Rattus norvegicus: one gene and its partner. The protein of the gene in region 1 interacts with the protein of each later gene in a pairwise test. Links are inferred from orthologs where the notes say so. Each region holds a gene or a part of one and is shown in the gene's direction. Other genes may lie near its edges.

Evidence for each region.
Region 2: the proteins of Zfp496 (region 1) and Zfp446 interact in binary tests that used the Homo sapiens proteins (3 or more experiments, as listed by UniProt). The two-hybrid records come from large-scale screens. The link is inferred for Rattus norvegicus from reciprocal best matches to the Homo sapiens genes ZNF496 and ZNF446.

Annotation. Positions count from the first base shown.
Region 1 is NC_086028.1:44,773,683-44,777,489, reverse strand, and holds part of Zfp496 (zinc finger protein 496), read left to right. Parts: intron 1-1,995; coding exon 1,996-2,128; intron 2,129-2,551; coding exon 2,552-2,659; intron 2,660-3,519; coding exon 3,520-3,624; intron 3,625-3,807. UniProt on the Homo sapiens protein: DNA-binding transcription factor that can both act as an activator and a repressor.
Region 2 is NC_086019.1:82,672,457-82,677,017, forward strand, and holds the start of Zfp446 (zinc finger protein 446), read left to right. Parts: upstream 1-1,463; 5' UTR 1,464-1,726; intron 1,727-1,825; exon of another isoform or gene 1,826-2,204; intron 2,205-2,587; 5' UTR 2,588-2,629; coding exon 2,630-2,971; intron 2,972-3,043; coding exon 3,044-3,245; intron 3,246-3,521; coding exon 3,522-3,616; intron 3,617-4,561. UniProt on the Homo sapiens protein: May be involved in transcriptional regulation.

The DNA of each region.
Region 1 (3,807 bases):
ACCACAGGTCTGGCATATTTGTACGACTTGATGGTGATTAAGCCACAGCTGAGTACTACAGCATCCGGGTTAGTCCTTATGGGCTCAGTCCATTGAGGCATTTTTTGTTTTTAGTTCAGCGTCTGTCTGTTTGATAATATTGTGGTGAATTTTGAGGTGTAGCAGGCGTGTAAGTATGGGCACCCGGCATGGACTAACTGGAGCTACCAGTTGGCTGGGCAGAAGATGTGAGGTTGGGTCCAGCCTCTCTTGGTTTTGACTGTGGTCCTTCTGAGGAGGAGTTGGCTACAGTGAGAGCTTTGCAGATGGATAGCAGACTAAGCAATCAGCTCTCTGTCTGGGCAAAAGGGGCAAGAATACCAGTCCATAAAAACCAACAATCCAACATGGTGGCACACACCTTTATTCCAAGTACTTGGGAGACTGAGGGCAGGCAAGCGAATTGTTTTATACAGTGAGACCTGCCTCAAACAACAACAAAAAGCCAAAAGGCTGGAGAAATGGCTCAGTGGTTAGGGATACTGGCTGCTCTTCCAGAGGGCCTGGGTTCAATTGCTAACATCTACATGGCCATGTCAACGGTCGGTTAACACCAATCCCAAGAGTTCTGATGCCATCTTCTGACCTCAGTAGGAACTAAATGCATATAGTGCACAGACAGGCATGATGCAGGCAGACCACCCGTACAGCATAATTTTTAAAAAAATTTTAATTAAATCTCTTAGTAGCTTAAAATAACAATCTAAACCACAAGGACACAAACTGGCTTTATGCAGCATAATCAAAATCAAAAATACCCTCAAGAGCAAAATTAGTGTAGTGACTGTGCAGGAAGCAAAGGGTGTCCAGCGGCAACTGGCAGTTCAAGGGGCTGGAGAGATGGCTCAGAAGTTAAGAACACTTGTTGCTCTTGCAGAGGACTTGGGTGTAATTCCAAACATTCCCACGGTTACCAGCTGTAACCAGTTCCAGGGGATCTCCTGGCTTCTTTTGACCTTTGAGGGCACCAGGCATATATTCAGGCAACAGTCATACACATAAAAAAATCCTTTTTAAAAAAATTATTAAAAGGAATTGGCAGCATATGACTTAGCCAGACCCTTGAGCAAAAGCCTCTCTCCAGCCAGCACTGGCTCTGCTCAGAAGCACAGAGATAGGACTGTCCCAGTGCCAGCATCAGGTAGGAGAGTGGAGTCTTTTTGGTTTGGCCGCAGAAGTCCTCACCAAGCATCCTGGTCCTCTCCAGGAGGTCTTAAGCAGTTTCTTCCTAGATCTGTTCCCAGTGAATGAAACTACTAGCCTGGGCTCAGGTCATTCACTCTCTTTGGCCCAGTATAAAAGGTAGTTTACCCAAGATGGCTTACCAAAGATGTTTTCTCCCTTAACAGCCTTAGTAAGTTCTTGGTAACACCTAAGAATCCCCTTTTCAGTAGCTAAAGAGGCTTGGGCTTGGGCCCCAGAGGAGGATGTTCAAACATCTGTTTCCCAAAGGGATGTATCTGAAGTTGCAAAAAACTGAAAGTCAGGTGGTGTTGAAAGTTCCCATAAATTTAGCTGAGACTTAATTTCATTTGTTCTTTCCACCAACCCAGAGGCCTGGAGGTGGTTGGCATGGTGAAGATGTAGTGATACTGGTTAGAATCCGGGAAAGCCCCTTCCGCCATGTGTGGACCCTGGGTCTTTTTGGGTTTTTGAGACAGGGTTTTTCTGTGTAGCCCTGGCTGTTCGGGAACTCACTCTGTAGACCAGACTGGCCTCAAACTTATGTAGATCTGCCTACCTCTGCCTCCCAAGTGCCCAGGAAGGGCACCAAACCCCAAAAAGCAGGCTGTTCCCACAGGCCCACTTTGCTGCACCTTGGCTTGATTTCTGGCCTCTAAGTCATTCGGGGTAAATGCCTGTGGAACATGCCACCGACCATGGTCTCTCCATATCATAGTGATCCCAGGAAGGCCTGCTCCTCCCCAGCTGACACAGCCTGCTCTGTGCTTTCAGAACCGAGTTTCCCCATTTAAGGACATGATTTTATGCTTCTCAGAAGAGGACTGGTCCCTTCTGGACCCGGCACAGACTGGTTTCTATGGAGAATTCATCATTGGGGAAGACTATGCAGTCTCTATGCCTCCAAGTAAGACCTAGTCCCATGCAGCCATGTATATGGAAGGGGGGGGGGGTGGGGGCTCACTCTGAATGAGGGACAGTACCTGTGAGGTTAAGGTACTGTGGCTCAAATCCGATCTCTGTTTACCCTCTCACCTTGACAGGAAGCTGTCTGTCTATCTGTGCAGGACTGTTTTCATCAGCTTCCAGTCGTGCTTGCTCGAATGGCCCTTCTGTACCCAGTGGGCCTCAGAGATGGTCCTAAGCCCTGGCCGGCTCTGTACCACACCGCCTTTCACGCTACCCCAATTTGTCTGCTTTTGTTCTCCTTTATACCCCAGTGGTACCTGCCACAGCTCATTGGCCATCTCTCCTCAGTCTCTTCTTGGGTTGGACGGGGGTTACCTGCAACAGCAGGTCACTGTTAAGGTGTCTACCTCTCTTTGAATAGATGAGTCTCCAGTTCAGCTGGGCCACTCACATGAGGAGGAGAACGGGTTGCGGGTCACAGAGTGGACAGACCTCCAGGATAAAGAAGCACCCCAAGCCTCCTGTATAGGTGAGTGACAATTAGAGGTGGGTGGACAGCAAGGTAGAAAACTATTGCATCCAGAGCACCCCCAGTATTCCTCCATAGCTCCCCACTCCTGGAATTCCATGCCTTGCCTTGACTCTGGCTTCTTGTGGAGACTGAGGAGGCTACATTTTGCTGTCCATTGAGACTGTTCCTCAACCAGGGACTTGTAGTGAGAGGATGTCTTCTGCTATCCAGAGTAGCCTTATGTTTAGAATAAGATCCTTTCTAGAAAAATGGTCAGATGTGTATGGCTAAGGACTGGGCATGAAGCACAACCCTTTTAGACACTGTGCTTACCGGCTTCCCACCCACTGACTCACACAAGCGCTCAGAGAATTCTACGGGGAAAGATGGGCCAAAATTCATTGCACCATGTCTGTGTATGCGTGCATGCAACCTGAGCTATGAAGGAAGTAGCCTTGAACAGAATCAGCAGCATCCCTGGACCTCCATCCTCTCTGCCCCGTGTGTGTGTGTGTGTGTGTGTGTGTGTGGCGGGGGCTGTGCTGTGAAGGGACCTCCATTCCCTCTGACCCCTCCCGTCTGTCCTGTGGGCTCAGTACAGTCTGTTTGTGGAAGGTTTGCGCAGGCCTACCTTGGAAGGTGTTAACCGTCTGTGGTAGACCTAGAACCCACATTAATTGAGCCCAGCTTCAGAACCTTGGTTCATGGTGTTTGCTCACTTGCCTTCAGGTTCATTCGCTCAGCAGAATGACCCCTCGTGCTCGCCCCCAGAGGGAGTGCAGCACCTGCAGATCATAGCCTGCCGCTTCCTTAGTGGTTTCTGAGTAGTGATATCTGTATGTATGTGACAAATCACTTTTTCCGTTCTCTTTGGAAAGACCTCCAGCCATTCCAAGGAGAGGAAAGAAAGAAATGGGAGGAGCTGCAGGTGCCGGAGCCCCAATCCTGCCAGCAGGTGGTGCTACCTCCAAGTCCTTGTCCAGGTGAGCAGTGTGGTGTGGGGCCCTGGCGGTGCTTGGTATGAAGTGGAGAACTAGGGATTGGCAAGTGTGTGTGGATTGGGGATTAAACTGCCTGAGGCTCCTGCTGACAGCTGTGACCTTTGCTCATTACCTTTCCTGGGTAGATTGTCAAGTGTTAACTTAACAGTGCTCTGCATGTAAAGA
Region 2 (4,561 bases), on another chromosome or scaffold:
CACCAGCCTCTGCTTTTAAGCTGAGTGCTTTTTACCTCCACACTCCTTGGATCTACCTCTTCCAATACCGAGAACTGGCCTGCGCTCCCCTATGTGTGGGAGTTCCCCAAGAACTACGGCTATACTGGGTTAGCTCCTCTTAACAGGCTACGCTTGTAAAAATGCCTATGGGTTTTCTAAGTCAAATGTTAAACCAGCTAAGCTTGGTAGCACCTGCCTGTGTTCTCAAAGCTGAGAAAACTGAAGCTGCAGGTTACAGAAACCCTGTCTTAAAACAACAAAACCCTCACCTCCCAATCCCACAAAACCAAATAAACACATGCACCAAACTTCACCTTTGGCTCTACAGCTGAACATGATGCACCACACTCCACACTTGGCTGTAAGTCTGTAGGTGAAGATGGAGGGGGGGTGGCATTCAAGGGAAATCAAATACTGAGCTGACACTGGGGGTCTCTCTCTCATGATTTTCCTGGGCAGCCGTAAACCTATACTCCAACTGGAAGAAAGCCTCTTAGGTCCCACTTGGTCAATGAGTTTGTTAGGGTTACAAGAGTAAGCATTTGAGGAGTGAGAGTGGCTAAGCTGCCCACAAAACACTCAGAGGGCCCTAATGACTGGGTCCAGCCCCTCCAGATGCATGGGGTCCAAGCTCCTCTGTGCAGAGTAAAAAGCCTACGCTCAAGACTTGAAAACCCACCAACTCCCCTACTCTGGAACGTCCCAGCGCCCCCCGATTCACCTGAGCAGAGGCAACCATCTTCTGAGTTTTTCCCTCCCAATAAATCTCCTGTCTGAGGTTTGTTGTGTGCTGTGACTTTGTAGTATCCAACTTCCAGGATACCTTTCCCTTCAGAACTGTAACACTGTCATTGGAGAAGGCTTTCTCCACCCATAGCTGTAACATTACAAGAACATGGGTGACTGAAGAATCCCAACCCTAATCAATTTTTTATCTTAAAATTTATCATTTCTAAGATCACACACAGTTGGGCAGGAAGGACTGGTGACAAAAATGTTTCCCCATCCCAAGAGAAAACATGAACATCCAAGTATTTTCAGTACAGTTATCTGAAGACTATTAATGAGGGGGTAATTACATAGTTACCTCCCTCCTCCGAGCGCTTGCTCACCCGTGGGCCTACTGCCCCCACAATATCCAGGGAGCTTAACGGAGATCCCACAGAGGCCATAGTGGGTATTCCTCGCCTCCCACCGGGATTCCTACTGGTACTGTCTGGAACAGTCTGGGATGACGCCTGGACTCAAGAGGCCAAGAAGCCTCTACCTAGGCCTTCTCCAAGGCAGGACGACCCTCACGGCATAACTCAGAGAACAGTAAAAGGCCGTAGGTTGTGCGCTGGCTGTTACCTAGGAGACACAAGGAGCGCGAGCCCTTTGGGGAGCGCCAGCTCTGATTGGTCAGGATGCCCTAACTAGCCAATAGAAACCAGTTCCGCTGTGCACATGCGTCAAGAGGCTAACCCCCAGTCTGGGTCGGCTGTACGTGAGTCCTACGGCTGAGGTTGCAAGAGAAGAACCGCTGCCAAGTCAGGAAGGGGAACCCCCGGAACTCTGCGGCAAAGCGACCCCGAGGAGAGGAACGAAGAGCCTCCCGCGTTAGAGGCCCTGGAAGCGTGCTGTCGTCCTTGCTGAGGCTCACGGGAGACGTAGTCCAAGCGGAGGGGGCCGTTCCTGCGGAGCAGGTGCAGGATTGGCCAGGCTGGTAGGCTAACGGGAGAGGCGGGGCGATCTGTGAGTGGTAGTGGGACGCGCTCCGTGTCACTTCCTGGAAGTGCCTCAAGCTTCTCGGGCTCCCCCACGCGTCAGAGGTGAGCGCACTCCTAGCTGTGCAGGCGCAGCTTTATAATCCCCCTCCTCTGACCGCCGAGAGTGCCTCCCAGCCATCGGACCCACCCTTTTTCTGTGTCAGAGCCTGAGACCCCAACTCTGAGTGTCTCCTGAACAGGCCAGATGTCTCAGGAGAGCTGATTTCAATCCAGAACTTCTTAAGAGCTGGTACATAGGTTCCAGCTGACTACACACAAAACGGGGCTGTTTGATTTGGCTTTTGTTTCGGGGTTTCACATGCATAGGCTGAGGCAGTGTGAGGCATCCACAGTTCAGTTGTGGTCAGTGAACTGTGTCTGCCAGCCTATATAAGCCCCTGGCAGTGCACCCAAGCTTTCAGCGCTGCCCCCCAGGTGATGTACTTGGGCCCCAGAGTCAACTCTTCAGCTAGCACAGTGGTCTGCCTCCTGCCTGAAGCCTCAGGGCTTCAGGTTACCCTGGATGATGGTCCGATCTATGTCCTGCTTGAACTCTTGTCTACCGGGGGAACCACTTTCATCTCCCAACAGCCCTCTGTTTTACCCAAATATTTGAGCCAGTAATTTGCAGTTTTCTAGAAGATCCTTGGACACCTTCTACTCAAGTCGTTATCTTCAAGGCTTTCTCAACTACTGTGGGCCTGCACCTTCCATGACCTTCCTTGAAGTTCTCCTGCCCACAGGGTTCTCTTTATGGCTTCTAGGAAGGATCTGGTGTATGCCTTCTGACCTTAGATGACATTCTTCCTTTTCTGTAGGTAGGACCCTCTGTCACCTCCAAAAAGACCCTCAAAACAAGAATGCCATCTCCTCTGGGTACCCCACACCTATCCTTCAGAGACTCCAGGACCACCCTTGAGGAGCCTGAGGCTGCACGACTCCATTTCCGGGGTTTCTGCTATGAGGAGGTTGAGGGACCCCGAGAGGCATTGGCCCGGCTTCGAGAGTTGTGTCACCAGTGGTTGCAGCCTGAGTCATCCTCCAAAGAGCAGATGATAGAGTTGCTGGTTTTGGAACAGTTCCTGGGTGTGTTGCCTCCTGAGATCCAGGCCTGGGTTCGAGGACAGCGACCAGGAAGCCCCGAGGAGGCCGCTGCCCTTGTTGAGGAGCTGCAGCATGATCCTGGACAGCTGCTGGGCTGGGTGAGTGCAATGACATTAGCTTCTTAAAGGGACAGATTGAAGGGAGAGCCCCTGTAACATGCTTCTCTTCAGATCACAGCCCACATCCTGAAGCCAAAGATACTTCCTTCAGTCCAGAAGATGGAGGAGTCCTCAGGGAGCCACCACATCTCAGCAGCAATGGAATCCTCCAAGGCAGGCCCAGCGGAGGCACCGCAGGACGCAGGGATAGACAGATCTACCCAGATCAGTTGCAGTGTGAAGGAGGAAGTCAGTGCTGATGGGCAGGAGATGGGTGAGGGGATGCAGCATCTGAACTCAAATCCCTGGGGTGTGTGGGGTACGGGGGGGGGGGTTAGAGTAAGGTGCTCTAGGAGAGGTTTTGCAGGGCTGCAACTCCTGAAATGAGTCTGGACAATCCCAGCTGAGATAAGGACTCTGGAGAGACCATAAAGCTGAATTTCTGAGAAGGAACAGGGTGATCTCCCCCATGTCAAATTGCAGAGGCGGGCCAAAGGCCAATGCAGTAACAACAGCTTGATACTCCTTCCCATCTGCCTCTCTTTCTCAGTATCTCCAAGCACCCTCCTTCCAGCCCAGGGCCCTGAGGGACATCTTGAACATCAGGAAACAGCCTCCGTATCGTTCCAGCCAGGAAGAATCCAGGTAAACAGCCTCTAGCAGGCCTTGCATGTGGGAGGAGGAGTGTCTCTGGTGGCTTGTGTTCTGCCCTACAGTTTTGTAGGATCCCCTGCCAGTGACTCATGTGGTTTTTACTACTTCTGAGTAGTAAATACCTTCCCTCCCATCAAGTCCTATTGGTAGCCTCTCATTAGAAAGGATTTAGGCCCCAGATCCAGAAGTGGCTAGAACTGGTGGGCATGGATTTCTCACCTCCAGAGAAGTCAGTTACTGGAAAGGTTTACAGTATACACAAGCCATGAGCCAGTTGTTATGTGTACAGTTGGGGAGGGGATGGCCATGCAGGATTCCTGCAGTCCTGAGGTCAGATCAAAATTCTCTTCCCGAACATTCCTCAAACCCCTTCTACTGCTCTTTTCAGAGTACAGTGACACAGAGGCTGAGCTTAACCTGCTACCTGCATGTGTATAGTTAACATGGAGAGAGTAGAGATCTGTCCCCTCTAGGTTCTTTCTGCTTCTGAGCCCTTACCTTCTTTCTCAATAGAATGTCTAGTTAGGGTGTGCTTCAAGGTTAAGAAACCCTTCTTTGATCCCTCTCTGGTATCCTGCTCCATTCCAGACTAATAACACCTCTAGATGTAGCTGTGGCAGCCACCTTCCTTTCTCCAGATTTGCTTTGGCTTGTCCTTCAGGGTTATTTTTCTCAACCTATCAAAGACCTATATGGCAGATTTCAGGGCAAGGGATTCTTTCCTTGGTATGGCCATCACAGCACGCATGCATGCCCTCGTGCACACACACACACACACACTGTCTTGCCACCAAATTGCCCCTCTTCAGACCTTGCTTGAACCGGCTGCCACCTGGCACAAAGCACCTAAGCTTTCTCTCTCCATCGCCTTTACCTACTCACCTCATCACATCAATTCCTCCTCCCCCTCTACCCCTTTGTGTGTGTGTGTGTGTG